2 linked regions of the Stegostoma tigrinum genome follow. The protein of the gene in region 2 interacts with the protein of the main gene of each other region in a pairwise test. Links are inferred from orthologs where the notes say so. Each region holds a gene or a part of one and is shown on either strand. Other genes may lie near its edges.

Region 1 (7,461 bases), on a different chromosome or scaffold from region 2:
TAACATGTTTATTAATACGTTTAATATTACGACGATAATATTGTAATTTCGGGAGAAAAAAATTGATCTTATTCTTTAGTCGCTGATTGATTTATGTATCACTTTCAAAATGATTCTTCACGCAAAAACAGTGAGTTTTCGTTAGAGTCAGTAATTAATTTTTGGAGCGAGGTTGGTATGGTGTAAGTGGAGGGAGAGGTGTTTTTATTTCTCTTTCTGGTTGCCTATAAAACATGTGCTCCAGGTGAGGCTCGAACTCACAACCTCGGCATGGCTCACTCTGTACTGTCATATAAGTACCGCGCGCTAACCGATTGCGCCACTGGAGCTCTGACATCAACGTCCGAGAAATGTCCCATCTACCCTCGGCCCGGGGGGAGAGGGGAAGGGTGGAGACAGTTCGCTTTTCGTTCCGTTTCCTTTCCCAATCATTCCCCCCACCAACAGTCACGAGCGGCTTTCACGAGCCGCTGCTGAGCGGCGGTTATCTGCCCAGCTGCAGGCCAGGCTTCACCGTACCGCGTTCGGCCTGTAGTGGGGAGAGTCAGTCTCTCTCGTCTCCCAGGCTTCAGGCCTCTGCGAATGCAGAAGGTGGACAGACGGAGAGGAAAAATAACAAACGTTAATACCGTAACAGCGAATTTGTGGTGCTGATTCTGGAAATGTAAAATGTACCGGATTCTCAGTTGACTTTCATTTCCGGCCGCACCCCGAAAAATAAAAGGAAAAGGGGTCGGAGCGGGAAGCCGTAACTCTCGCCCCATTACAAGAGGGTGCGACACACGGTAGTCTGTAATCGAGAGAAGTGAGCACACGGGGACAGTGTGAGGAAAATAGAGTTTGCATCGGGCAAATGGAGGAGATTGCAGTGTTTCCAATAGGGGTGAGGGAGGGGGTTGCAGCGTTTCCAGTGCGGGGGGGGAGGGGGAATGAGGAGGGGGCTGCAGCGTTTCCAGTGGGGGGAAGAGGAGGCTGCAATGTCTACTATCGGGGGGGGGGGGGGGGGGAGAAGTGGCTGCAATGTGTCCAGTGAGAGGGAGGAGCGCTACACAATGCCTACAAAGTGAGCGAGCAGCTGGTAACAGTGTCAAAATTGGGGAGAAGCAGTGTGCATTGTTGAAAATGTAGGTATGAGGGTTCAGCAGTTCAGAGGAGTGGTCTGGAATGTCTACATTGGAGGGGAGAATGTGCCTGCAATGAGTGGGGGGGGGGGCTGGGTTGTCTACAATGTGGGTGAGGGCGGTCTGGCTTGTCGACAATGGATGCAGTAAGGTGGTCTACAACATCTACAAGTGGGGAGAAGGGCTCCACAATGAGGAAGGGTGTTACAGTGACAGGGGAGGGGATTGCTGTGACGACGACGGGGGGGGGGGGGGGGGGCAGCAATGCATACAATGGAGAAGGGGAGTAAGAGGGTTGCAATGTCTATAATGTGGAGGCTACTTCACTCTCTCCTCCTGTTTCGTGTCTGAGTTTTTGGCTATGAGATGATACATGACATATAATACTGCCAAGAGATAATGGGAACTGCCAATGCTGGAGAATCCGAGATAACAAAGTGTGGAGCTGGATGAACACAGCAGGCCAAGCAACATCTTAGGAGCACAAAAGCTGACGGTTTGGCCCTTGACCTAGGCCCGAAATGTCAGCTTTTGTGTTTCTAAGATGCTGCTTGGCCTGCTGTGTTCATCCAGCTCCACACTTTGTTATCTCTGTAATACTGCCAAGCCTGTTGACAGTAGGATGTGGCATTCCAAGAGAAACCAAAGAAGGTTTGTTTTGTGTAACAGATTTATAACATCAAAAGTAGGCCATTCAACCCATTTGATTGTAATAGAGCCATTCAATCTCATCCAATCCCAAGTTTTGGTCTGTAACCCTGTGGTATATGAATTGTAGATGTGGTGAGGGTTTTTGCCTCTTGTGAACCTTTTAAGCAGAGTTCTAAATCTGTATCACCCACCGGTGAAAGATAAATGCTTTTCAATACAGGAGGCCATTTCCAGAGTGCATTGTGTAAGCCAATTCACACCTTAACAGTCTAACTAACATTGAGAGAGAAGTTCTGTCCATTAAGATAAAAGGACTTTACTTGGAAGAAGCTAACCAATGTGTTTCAGTTTTCTAAGGTGTGAGTTCAGTAAACCTCCATGTGTACTCTTAAGTCTTCCCTGAGGTCTCACAAAGGGCTAACATGTAACTCAGATGCAATTTGTAATACAGCTATTCAGGTTATCAAGACTGAGTCTCTCTTGTGTCCAAAAACTTTGTGGGCATTCTTCTCCTTTGATATCAGCAATTTAGACTAATATCATTTAGAAGGATTGGTGCAGTGAATCTAACTACAACATATCAGCTGATACTGGTGGAAATTAGCACAACATACTATGGCAGCAACACGTGGGCACCATTCTCATATATAAAATGCTAACAATGGCGGTCTTCTGAAGAAACTTTCAGCCCTACGAAAGCCACTGACATCCAAGGACGAAAAAGAACAAAATCATTCCAGTAAGAAAATCAAATGAAATAAGAAAAATTTGGCAACTTAAAAGTACGCAGAGCCGGTAAGCTTCTGTGAAGGCAGCAAACTGATAATTTAAAAAGGCTGCTGAAGCATTAACAGTACTAAGCCTGTGCGTAGAAGTTGGAAACTTCATAATGGTGGAAAATACTGAAAAAAACTAAAGACCACAAAAGTCTCATCACAGCTAAAAATCATAAAGCTGAATATTTAGTGCAATTGATAGCTAACACCTGAAGTTACTTCCTTTGATGAAAGGTGAAAGTTCTCAAATTAACAAAATATCTAGCCTGAGAAGCTAAAAGACTCAAGTTGCTATATTTAGGAATTAAGCATCATTATAATCACTTAAATGTGTTGGCAACACAGCAGAAAAAACACTCTTTAAACTTAAAGTAATTGTGAAGGGATTTACTTAAGAAAACTGGGCATAAACATTCAACGATTTATGTTCACTGTTGGTATCTTCTCATACTATTTCTTTGCTTCGCATATTTTCTTTTTGATTTCCGTCTGAAATTCCTATATCATGTCTGATTATCAATTGTATTGTCTACTTGACATCTGTCATAGACACATATCTACTACATCTCTTACCTTCTACTTCTGTGACACAGAGAGAATTACATTCATATACCATACCTTTCCCCCATCATAGGAATAAACCTAAACTCTCTCTTCTCATCTCTTACACATCTTGTCTTTTTAGAACGATGTCATTCGTGTAATGTTACTTGTTGATGTAGTTTCTCCCAAAGTAAATCCCTTCACAATTACCACATTAAGTTTTATTTGCTAGCGTCTGTCCATTTCATCAGTCTACGTTCTCCTGAACTTCGTTATTATCCTGATGACTATTTACTAATGTTGCTATGTTTTGTATCAAATCACAAAGTTTGAAATTGTTCTCCTGATACCCAAATCTAGATAATTTTACCAAACAAGAAAGCAATTACTAAACCCCAGAACATCCACAAATACTTGCCTCTAATATTAAAATAAATCCATTCACTATTAATCTCTAATGGCTATACCTTGGCTAATTACATACCATCCCTTTATTGTCATTTACTTTTTTTGATTAAGTCTGTTATGTAGAACTTGTATCAAATGTGTTTTGTTGTATGTCCAGATACACACAACTACTGCATTACCTTCATTAACCTTCTCCACTGTTTCATCAAATAATTCAGTCTGGTTTGTCAGGCACTACTTCAGTAAATCTCTGCTGGATGTCATTTTTAATTTGGATCTGGCCAATGTTGTCAAGGAGACTTTCCAACCATTGATATCTGGTCTGTAGTTGTATGCATACATTTCGGAACAGGACTGTAAAATTTATCACTGTCCAGTCCTCTCGCTGACATCACACACGGAACCATAGAGAACTGAAAGATTGTGGTCAGAACATCTGTTGTCTCACGGCTGAGAGTATCCTTTCTGGTCTGAGAGACTTGTTCATTTTGAGTGATGGCAACTTTTTTTAAAAAAAAACTGATAGTAGGAACTGTCGATGCTGAAGTCAGAGGTAACACAGTATGGAGCTGGAGGAGCACAGCAGGCCAGGCAGCATCAGAGTAGGAGAACGTTGACGTTTGGGGTCGGTACCCTTCTTCAGAAGGGTCTCTGTTTTTCTTTAATGCTTCTCATTTCCATCTTTACCCTCATCTTTCTGTACCCGATTTCCTCGAGGCAGAATTCACAGGGCCCCAGGCCACGTTTGAAGAAATACATGGTTTTTCTCAGGTTTGTAAGGACAATGCATACTTAGGACTTGCGATAATCATGTGACCCGTGTGCTGTAGCTTTCTATAAAATACGTAGCCCTTAACTATTCCACATGCAGCAGCGTACTCCTAATTGTGGGACTATTTGGTAAGGTGGCGACTGCTGGAAGTTTATGTCTCGAACACGGGCACCTTGTTGAAATTTATTCCAGGTTCTTCTAAAAGGCCAGCCTTCTCCCCAGCTTATAAATTTCCAATCAAAAGCGTTTACCAGGGCCCACCCCTCGTCGTGGTCAATAAAGCGAGTCTGAAATCACTTGCCCCTGCTTCTGTGTGAATTTCAAAGATCACCACCAGGACTTGCTGCGCCAAAGGTATGTAATAATATCTCACAACAGGCTGCTTAGGAAAATAGGCAGGGAGTTATTACGATGCATTGGGTAAGATGATATCAAGACTTGCATGTTATTTAATATTTCTCAGGTGCTAACATCACTAAACTCACGATATCCAAACGATGGGGCTGTTTTACAACGTTAACAAATGGATCGAAGAAAACAAGAAGTATTTCAACCCCCCGGTCTGCAATAAGCTCATGTAAGTCACTTTCCCGGGCGTGCCTTTCCTGAAGGGGCACGATGTGGAGGTGCCGGCCTTGGCCTGGGATGGACAAGGTCAGAAATCACACGACACCAGGTTATAGCCCAACACAAAGTTTTCATTAATGGAGAATCTTTGATCTTTTATTCGTAAATTCTGTCTCTGATACTGCCTGTCTCACCTGAAGAAGGACTGAGGCTCCGAAAGCTTGTGTTCCCAAATAAACCTGTTGGGTTTTAACCTGCTGTCGTGTGACTTCTGACCTTTTCCAGGATGGGGAAAGCAGTGAGTGAGTGGAAGTTGAATATTTGAAGCAAGTGCCCAGTGCGATCCTATTTTGCCTGCCGCCGGTCCCACTTGACCGCTCCTTTGCATTTAGCAGGGATTCTCCAATAATCGTTAGCAGTTTTCGGCCCCTTTGAAAGACAGGCCTTGACATTAAACCTTCGATGTTGGTTTATAAAAGACGCTAGGCGTGTAGTTATGGAATGATTTTGACAGTAAAGACTGGAAAAAGCTTGGATTTCCTCTAAGTCTTAGTTTTGCTACCGTTTTTCAGGCACGCATTGGTTACAAAAGCATTTGCCCTCATAATATTCCTTAATTCTGAACTCAGTTCGTAACTCGGTACCTACAGCCTGAATATTTAAGTCTTATCATAGAGCGTGAAGAATGTCACAGAAAATTGTAACACACTAAATAATGGGATGTTGCAAACTGTGCCACATTCAATATCACTGGGAAGCCTCTTCTAGGGATGCCTAACCTGAAGAAGTTACCCTCCTCCCTCCGGAAAAACCTGAGGGGAGCTCTCTTCCACTGCAGCTCTCTTGTAATCTCTTCGGCCTTGAAACTGCTCGACCACGTCCTGAAGCAAACCAGGTACTACAGCCACACCACCTTTTAGTACCTGCCTATGGAACCGATCATCCCCAATTTACTGACCTATCCTCTCCCCACCTACACTCACCTTTACTGGCTCCATCCCCGCCTCTTTAACTTGTCTGTCTCCTCTCCACCTATCTTCTCCTCTATCTTCGATCCACCTCCCCCTCTTTCCCTATTTATTTCAAAACCCCCTTCCCCCTCTTCCATTTCTGATGAAGGGTCTCGGCCTGAAAAATCAGCTTTTGTGCTCCTCTGATGCTGCTTGGCCTGCTGTGTTCATCCAGCTCTACACCTTGTTATCTCTTTGCTCAGTGACAGCATGTTCACTGCTGAGTTAGCAACATATCAATTCCAATCCTGCTGCTCCCTCTAAAGAATATAGTGTGGCACTTAAGTGAAGCACAGGTGTACTTGTAAGAGTGCTGCATCCTTAGTGAAGGTAGTTTTTGGATAAGACATTAAGTTAAAGCCCATTTGTCTTTGCAGGCAGAATAACAGAATCTTAGCACAATTTAAAGAAGGCAAGGGCAGTTATCTTTGCAATTCTTGAGGGCTACTATGCTTCCCCTTGGCGTAATACTAACTACACATTAAGTTTGGAACATCTGAGATTGTGAAGGATGAGTTATTTTCTTTAATTAGAAATTAACAAGTTATTTTGATATCATCCATCTAAGTTGCATTTCACAAGAATTGGGAGGAACATTGAAGTAGTGAAGATGAAAAGTAAACTTTTATCTAGTAAAATACAGGTGCAAGCTCCTTTACCAAGTAGATAGATTCAGAAACAACTGGGTCAAATGATCATTGAAGATTACTTGAAAGAGCTGATACAATGACGGAAAGGATACATTGTCATAACATTATTTATTAGTGCATTAAATTGATCATGTAAATCAATGCTCACTAAAACAACATCATTATCGTGATGCATATTTTAACATGTTACTTCTGAATTACTTTTTCAAATCTGAATTCTTTTGGCTAATACTATTCTTATAATAATGTTTTTCAGGCACAGTGGCCAGTTAAAAGTTATGTTTGTTGGAGGACCTAATGAAAGGAAAGATTACCACATAGAAGAGGGAGAAGAGGTAAAGCATAATTATTCAGTGTTCACTGTACATACAGGAATATAAGAGATCAGAAAGTATTCAATTTCCTTCTCGTTCCACTTTATTTGAAGTGGAATTTAAGTGTGAACCTATCCCACTCCTGTATTCACCCAACACTCTCACCAGGGGTCAAAATGGCTTTTGTACTCCTGAGGGTTTTTGCGATCTTCTTGAGGGCTACATTTTGATTTTCAGAAACTTTCTGTTTATTCTCTCTAACTCTTCCTTTGGCTGATCTGTCATTTAGTGATGATATCTTCTGTATTTATGCTGCTCTGTGGGCCATTTGGACTTGCAGGGCAGAATCAGAAGCATTCAACAGGACATAGCAGCGGGAGTAGGCAATTCAGTCTCTTGAGCCTGCTCAACCATTTAATATAATTATGGTTGATCTTATCTTGGCCTTAACTCCATATTCCTGTCTGCTCCCCTTAACCCTTAGACAATTACTAACTAAAAATCTGTCTATCTGCTCCTTAAATTTATTCATGTCTCGACATCCTTTGTACTCTGAGATGGTGAATTTCCCAGATTAACACCCTTTGAGTGAAATAATTCCTCCATATCTGAGATAATGGGAACTGCAGATGCTGGAGAATCCAAGATA
Region 2 (7,641 bases):
ATTTGTACAAGAGTGATCAATGACAACACAAAGTTTTAGATTAGTGATGGAGCAGAGTGAGGAACCGCCCAATTTGGACAAAGGCTAATGTCAATGCAATAGAAAAAGATCTAGCCTGGGTCAAGTACAACCAAGAAATCTCAGGAAATGTTAATGGGTGATCAATAAGAAGATGTTTCAGGTTCAGGCTAGGTACATTCAAACAAGTTGAAAAGGAAAGTGAATGAAAGTCAAGGTTCCTTGGATGATGAAAGAGATAGGGAAAATTATGAAAAAAATAGGTACAATGCAAATAAATTCTTCATGTAAGAACCAAGTCAAGTGCACAGTATTGAGATATGTAGCGAAGAAGAAAATATGACTGACTGGCAGAAAGTGGATTTGAAAATGGAATGGCAGCTAATGTACAAGGGAGCCCAAAATTATTCGACAGGCATGTAAGTAATAGAAGTCAGAAATGGTTTATTAGGGTTTTAAGAGTGTGATATATGCTTGGCATAACAGTGTAAAGTTAGGTACTTTGTGTTAACATATACTAAGGAAGAAGATATCGACAAAATATTTGTAGGAGAGTGACAATGGATGAATTGGAAATTAATCATATATTTTAAAAATGGCTTAAAAAGAGACAACAGTGAACAGGAGCAAGTAATTGTTTTTCGGACTGAGGATGATCAAAAAGGTGCTACTTAGGATCGGTGTTAGAATCACTGCTTTTTTGATGTGTTTCTGTATACGAACCTAGATATTGAAGTACAGAAAAAAATCAATATCAATAATAGCTGGAAACTTAGACGTATGGACAACAGTGTTGATGACACTAGTGGAATGTGACTGGTCATAGAAACTCTAGCAGAATATGAGACAAGTGGCAGATTGAATTTAATATAGAGAAATGTAAGGTGATTAAATTTGGTGGAAGAAGCAGTAAGAGGCAAAATAGAATTTATGGTACATTTTTAGAGAGTGTATGTGGACAGGGAGACCTGGGGATTCATGTATATTGACCTTTGAAAGTGGAAGTATGTATTGAGAGCACAATAGCAAAGTATATGAGATCTTGGACTTCATAAATGATGCAGAGTCTAGGCCCGAAACGCCAGTTTTTGTGCTCCTGAGATTGCTGCTTGGCCTGCTGTGTTCATCCAGCTCCACACTTTGTTATCTTGGATTCTCCAGCATTTGCAGTTCCCATTATCTCTGAACCAATGTATTTCCTCTAGTTCTAGCTACCACACTTATGCAAGGATGGAAGGTGCAGAGATTTACCAGAATGCTCTTGGGAGAAAAATATTTAGGTTACAAACTGCAAGAGAAGTCAATTTAATGTAGCCAAAGAAAAGCTGTTTGGATTAGCTGATGGTACACGCAACAGTGGGCACAGATTAAGTTTTGGACAAAAGATGCAAGGCCAGTGCATTGAACAGTAATGTCCTGGAAATTGCTATCTCTAATAGTGATGGAAGTAGAGATGATGAATGATTTGAAAGGAAATTAGATGGGCATTATAAAGAAATAATAATTGGGGCATGGGGGTCAGTGTGGAGAAATGGAGCTGATGGGATTACTTTATGGGGAGCAAGGTGTCAATGGGCCACCATGACTTTATGACACAATCACCGACTAGTAGGAGGCTGACGTGGTACTGTAAGGAAATTAACATCTGGGTATACCAGGCTGGCCTTGAAATTTACCGGCAGCACCCGATTTATGGCAAATGAATTGATGAAGTTCCCAGTAAAGATTTTTCTGTACTATATTATTTGATGGAAGCACACGAGTCTGTCCACTAAGACTTCAGCAGTTTGTTTCCCCCAAACTAGCAAATATCGTAGTGAACAAAAATAAAGTTGCTGGAGAAGTTCTGAGGAAGGATCGCTGGACCCGAAACGCTAAGTCTTTTTTTCCTTCACCGACGCTGCCAGACCTGCTGACCTTATCCAGCAACTTTGTTTTTGTTCTCGATTTACAGCATCTGCAGTTCTTTCGGTTTTTATTAAATATGGAGGTGAATCTGGTAATGTGGCGGAGGAGCCGGATTGGCAACTCCAGCTGTGCTGAAGGTAAAAACTGGGACTATCTTAGAGTTTTTACACATCACAGTCCAACTGAATCCTGCACAAACCTATGGCTAAATTGTCATTGGATCCTCTGAAAATGTTCCAAAAAAAACTTACAATGCCTTTCCTCTTGAAAACGTAAAACTTCCTGCCCCACTCCCATAACATTAGAATTAACCACAGGGAACAATCATTACTTCAACAGAATGTCTGGCTTAGTTCAACAGGAAAGTAATTAACAGTTTCAGGAATTGAGCATTGCATTCCACAGCCAGCAGCTTCAGTCAGGAGATTGCTGCTACTGCGCTCTAAGGACAATATAAACCGTACCGTCTTCTAGAAGCTTTTTCTGAAGGGTCTTGGCCTGAAACGTCAGCTTTCCTGCCCCTCTGATCCTGCTTGGCCTGCTGTGTTCATCCAGCTCTACACCGTGTTTATCTCGTCTTCTAAAAGCCGTGGGCAAGCCAACGTCTGTCATGATTAGTTGTTCTCCTACGACAGGGGAACCTCTGCACTCTCACTAAAATTATTGACTTTAGCCATGTCTTGAAATTCTCTCCGGTGATCCCCATGTCACCTTAAGAGTCTGAAATGCCATTTCTGGAAGTCCACGATGGACATAATAGACTGGCAGAATGTTGTTAAGTAAAATATTACAGTTGCAAAACATTTGAAATTCCAATTAATTGATATTTTTGAGATACACGGCGACATGCTTATAACTTTAGGGAATTGTAATTCACCTGTAGATAGGTGCCCCTTCGAAGTGTAGGGAAATGCTAATGGCTTAAAGTTACCAATGTATAATTATTGCCGACATTGATACTCATGTGCTGATATTTAAAACAGCTTTAAACAAAAACAAAAAACTTGGATCTAAGTAAGCGATTAGAATTTCATTCCAGGTTTGCAGAATGTCATGATGGGCGATACAAGTAACTCCCTTAGTTGGGAGAGCGGATTTAGTTTAACAGAATACCAATTCCATCAAAAACGATTTTGTAATTATCAATAAGATTTTCAGACTACATTTAGCAACACCATGCATACATAAACACACACTATTTGGTCGCAGTGTCGTCTGTAGTTGAAAATGTAAATAAAATGCAGGACGATTCGCTATCAAGATTTACTGCAAGGGCTCATGTTTTAAAATTGAAATACAACCTCGACTTCAGTCTCGTCCATTTCCCATATTGTTTGAAACATTGGAAGTGTATTAATTTAGTCCCCCAATTTCCAAAGCCCATGAGTGCCATCGTCTCAATGTCTTATGTTTAATTGTCTGACATGGTTCCGGCGTCAATGCATCATCCATTGTTTGCGTTTTTTGCAAAGCAACAAATCTGTTAGTATTTCCCTAACTTCTCAATTTCAGGACTTAAAATCCATATACTTTAAGTATTTTCTAATTTGCTTTCTGCCGTGTGACTTCAATAGTCTTTGCTTCAGTGTCTCGCCGCGAGATAATTTCAATATTTGTGCAGCGAAACATGTAAAGTGCTGCAATTGTGTAATGGAATCGTTCATTTGTAGATTCAAACTTTGCATCATGGACCTATGCGACTGTATTTCCGGAAATCTGAGTGGTGTGGCAATGTTCTCCTTAACTGAACATTTTTTTCGCTACAAATATACACATTGGTTTTATTTTCTCAATTTGAAAAAGTCGATAACGTGAAATAATAATTACATTCCTCAGTAAAGCAAACATAAACAGAATAGTACCACGTTGCGAAGAATTAGTCTAAATTTGAGAGAACAACAGGTGCCCTGATACTTCCACGACAGAAACATTCGCTATTCACCTCGTCTAGGATCATTCCTTTGTCACATGGTCGTTAACCCTGCGTTTTCATTCATCATCAGCCATATGGGTGTGTGGGGTGAAGTGTGTGGTTTGTGGCTGGAGGAAGGGGGTTTGTTATCGTCTGCATGCAATCATACAGGCTGCTGTTCGCTTGCTGCCGATTTGGGAAAACTCTTTTTTAAATCTCTACCATAATGCATTGCACTATGTCTCCCACAAATCGTCAAATGAAATTGGATTTCTCATCTAACATTGTTTTGCATTTATTTGTTTATGTCACGGCCTTCGATAACAACTGCCACATGCTTCCCATAATAACTGATTTCGAAATCCAGTATATGCTGTCGTGCCCGCTTCGAGGCATCGCCGCCTTTCTGATTTTTCCCCCAATGTAATCCTCACACAATCCTACACGCACTTCATTGCAATTGAAACGCTGACGTATTGATCTTCCCACCCTGCTATTTCCTTCGTGTCTCCGCCCGCCCCTCCTTTCACCGCTGTTTAAAACATAACGCCCTGCTTAAAAAGTCATAATTTGCTAACTGCCGGGAATCTCACAGCTCTGCATGTGTTCTTATAAATTTTTTCTGTCGTAAACAAAGTGTAACGAAAGTGCCTGTGAATAAAGAGGCGTCAGCAGACCTGTAGTGTAGGTGTCTCTCCAAGGTGCACCTTACTATCGATTTGACGAGCTGGGACGCCCTCTGCTGTTGGGTCTTGGTTCCTACCGTGCTCGAAAACAATGGTCACAAAGCAATCGCGAACAAACCCACAATGTCTGGCGTTTAATTTTTTAATGACACCTAAATTGGGCATGAACATGGGGGGAGGGGAAGAAAGGAAATTTTATTCTTAAATCTGTTGGATTATGTGTGAAATAGAGTGGATGTACGTTGACAGAGCTTCCTTCTGTCGTGAACAGAAGAAAAGCTGCACAGATTCCTTAAGAAGTTAAGATTGCCACAACCAGCAGAGAACCGGTTCATAGTTTCAAAGCTGTGCTGCACAGTCCCCAGTCACTTAGGTTCCTTTCGTGTCAGAAATTCTAGACTCTGCGGTTAAAATGTAAACCTATTGTTATAGACTCCAACCTTGCTGAGATGCACCTGCTCTCCGTGATCAGGATTCAGAAGCAAGGACTCAAACCCTGAAGGCATCAAGAAGTACCTTCTGAAAAAGTCACGTCACTCCAGAGGAACGGTAGCGGGCGGTAGATTTCTATAGACAAAGCAACCTGCTCAATCTTGTCATGACACATTTTGGAGTAGAGGAGATGATGTGTGAGTCATTCGCGCGTCGTGTCAGATAAACGGACGATTCACACTTTTAAAACAGCAAATCAAACGTACTTCTGAAAAAAAAGGTCATGCTGAACGGAATTTTTGTACTCTATTTATATTCAGACGTCGTTTCCCTTGGAGTATTAAAAGCGCCCTTCAGGCTGACTAAAACTTGCATGTAAGGATCTAATTTAGTTGTCGGGAGTCAGATGGTCGAACCTGCTACCTGGGCGTCTTCACAAGGCGGTAAGGTCCTCGTCATCGTTCACCTGTAACATGCCATTTCATTAGAGACTACCTTTTCCTGTACCGGTCATTTTGATCAAGTCCACTGCCAACTTTCCCGTGCCCCTGTGTATTTATGGAATTGTGGTTGGGAGTTTAAAATCCCAGCGGGTAAGTGAAACCGGTCTTAGAAAACATGGAAACGTCCGATAGCGTTGGGTTTGAACGTGAAGCACATTGTGTCCCGATGCCATCGAGTGGTCCAAACGTTGTCAGGGCGAATTACATGTTGAGTAATCGTGCTATGGAAACTCGCTCGTACTGTGGATTTTGCTCTATTTCTGGATGGGTAGTTACAATTTAATGATGTGTAATTGTGGTGTAATCAAGGGGGATTTGTGCTTTGCGTCATGTCGGTTCGTTTCATGTTATGATTTCCAACCGAAAGGCTCTCACTGACCATTGCATTGTCTATTTTATAGTTTGGTTAAATCGTTTCGGACAGTGTTAGGATCACATTGAATGTAACAATGCTGCCTGGTCCTGTTCGGTACAGTTGGTTAATTCATCAATATTTTGCATAAATAAATGTAAACTGACAATGACCATAACTCCATTGTTGACTGACAATTGTTGTAACCTATGTGGGGAGATGGCACTGTCCTACTGGACCGCGTACCGTTCAAATGCATATTGTAGGTTGCCTAGCGGTGAAGCAAAGGCAATAGAAATTATTTCAGTCGATGCAGTTCGCGAGATCTTTGCCGGCGTTACAACTGGTAAACAGCTCGCAAAGATTGTTTGATATCTTTCCACCTTTACTGATTTCTGTGCTGCTTTGCGATTACGCGCGACATACCGGTGCCAGCGCAATCCACAGCTCTTCCCAACGTCCATCAGAGCACTTCAGCGCCCTGAATGCTAATAAAGTGAAATGTTTGAAAGCGCACGACCGTGCTCGAAGCCCATCGTCCTCACACACGCACGCACACAGACACAAGCGGGCTTAAAGCCAAACTAACAAGGCTGTCCTGTTATTATTTTTCTTACAGAAAGCAGTGTCTTTACGTTGAGAAGAAAGGATTCGAAAGGAGGCGTCAGCCCCAGCTAAGCAAAGAGCTCGCGTCTGTCAGAACCGATGGCATCTTCTGCTCCTTCATCTTCCGGAGCGAGTCAAGACTCCAATTCAACAAATTTACGGCCGGCGGATAGAAGCACAAGTAAGCGATTGCTGCTTCATTTTTAGACAACGCAAGAAGATGACTAAAGCAGCTAATGGTTATTCTGTAGGCAGAAAGTACTCCCAGAAAATTCATAAATGAATAAAACTGCACGTTGACTACTGCTAAAGCGCCTTTTAACATCACCTGTACTGTTACCTGGTTAAAACGTTTCACAATGGGGTCCTTAGCGTTCCAGGCTTATTAAAGTGCTGATAGTTTATTCAATTGTATTTTTTTCTCTTTGTTTACAACAGCTGGAAGCTGCGATTCTTTTTCACACCCGTGGAAATGAGCCTACAGCTGTATGTAAAATAAGTCTTTTAAGCAATAATTTCAACGCGGTTTAGCAATTTATGAAAATACACTTCGCTCATTATCGCAACAGACCCTTTTAGCGCAGAGTCTGAGTGCAAATGTAATTATAGGAGAAAGAGAAAGCGCCTGATGCAGCTAATTGTAGCTCTTATGAACTCGCTAATAGCTGCGACGGCACAGAGCGAACGAAAGCGAGCTATTGAACTGGCAGGGATGAGAATGGCGCTGATGGATCTAATCAGCTTCCCACACTGCCTCAACAATTTTGACATCAGGTACAAAAAAATAGTCGAAGACATAATCGACACTGACAAAGAAAAACTTACCAGAAATAAAGACGGGCATTCCGATCATTACACGTGTAATGTCTCTGCCCTCAAGGCTTTCAGACGCTCCCAGGCGCATTAATTCTTTCCATCTGCCAAGGCGGACAGGCTAACCTAGAATGCGTTTGTATTTCTGACAATCCATTTCAAACTTTAGAATCGTGAGATTCATATTGCCACACTTTGATTATTTCAATGTCTTCATGTTTTCTTATACATACACATATATGTTGATGTGTGTATATCACGTCTTATATATAACAATATACACGCATTGAAACAATGTAGTCGTGAAGTTCACACGTTCGTGTTTGTCCTTGGGAAAGCGATTGTGTAGGAAAAATTCCGGCACACAATTTATGATTTAGCCCAATTTAATTCTACTTGGCAAAACCAGGT

Evidence for each region. The genes of interacting proteins can lie anywhere in the genome.
Region 1: the proteins of glutamate decarboxylase 1 (region 2) and haao interact in a two-hybrid assay, tested with the Homo sapiens proteins (4 studies listed by BioGRID and IntAct). The two-hybrid records come from large-scale screens. The link is inferred for Stegostoma tigrinum from reciprocal best matches to the Homo sapiens genes GAD1 and HAAO.

What each region holds. Positions count from the first base shown.
Region 1 is NC_081362.1:66,108,022-66,115,482, reverse strand, and holds the start of haao (3-hydroxyanthranilate 3,4-dioxygenase), read left to right. Parts: upstream 1-4,453; 5' UTR 4,454-4,625; exon of another isoform or gene 4,626-4,656; intron 4,657-4,734; 5' UTR 4,735-4,768; coding exon 4,769-4,848; intron 4,849-6,754; coding exon 6,755-6,833; intron 6,834-7,461. UniProt on the Homo sapiens protein: Catalyzes the oxidative ring opening of 3-hydroxyanthranilate to 2-amino-3-carboxymuconate semialdehyde, which spontaneously cyclizes to quinolinate.
Region 2 is NC_081360.1:51,746,122-51,753,762, forward strand, and holds the start of glutamate decarboxylase 1, read left to right. Parts: upstream 1-4,633; 5' UTR 4,634-5,399; intron 5,400-5,437; exon of another isoform or gene 5,438-5,549; intron 5,550-5,640; exon of another isoform or gene 5,641-5,727; intron 5,728-6,072; exon of another isoform or gene 6,073-6,157; intron 6,158-6,430; 5' UTR 6,431-6,516; coding exon 6,517-6,598; intron 6,599-7,641.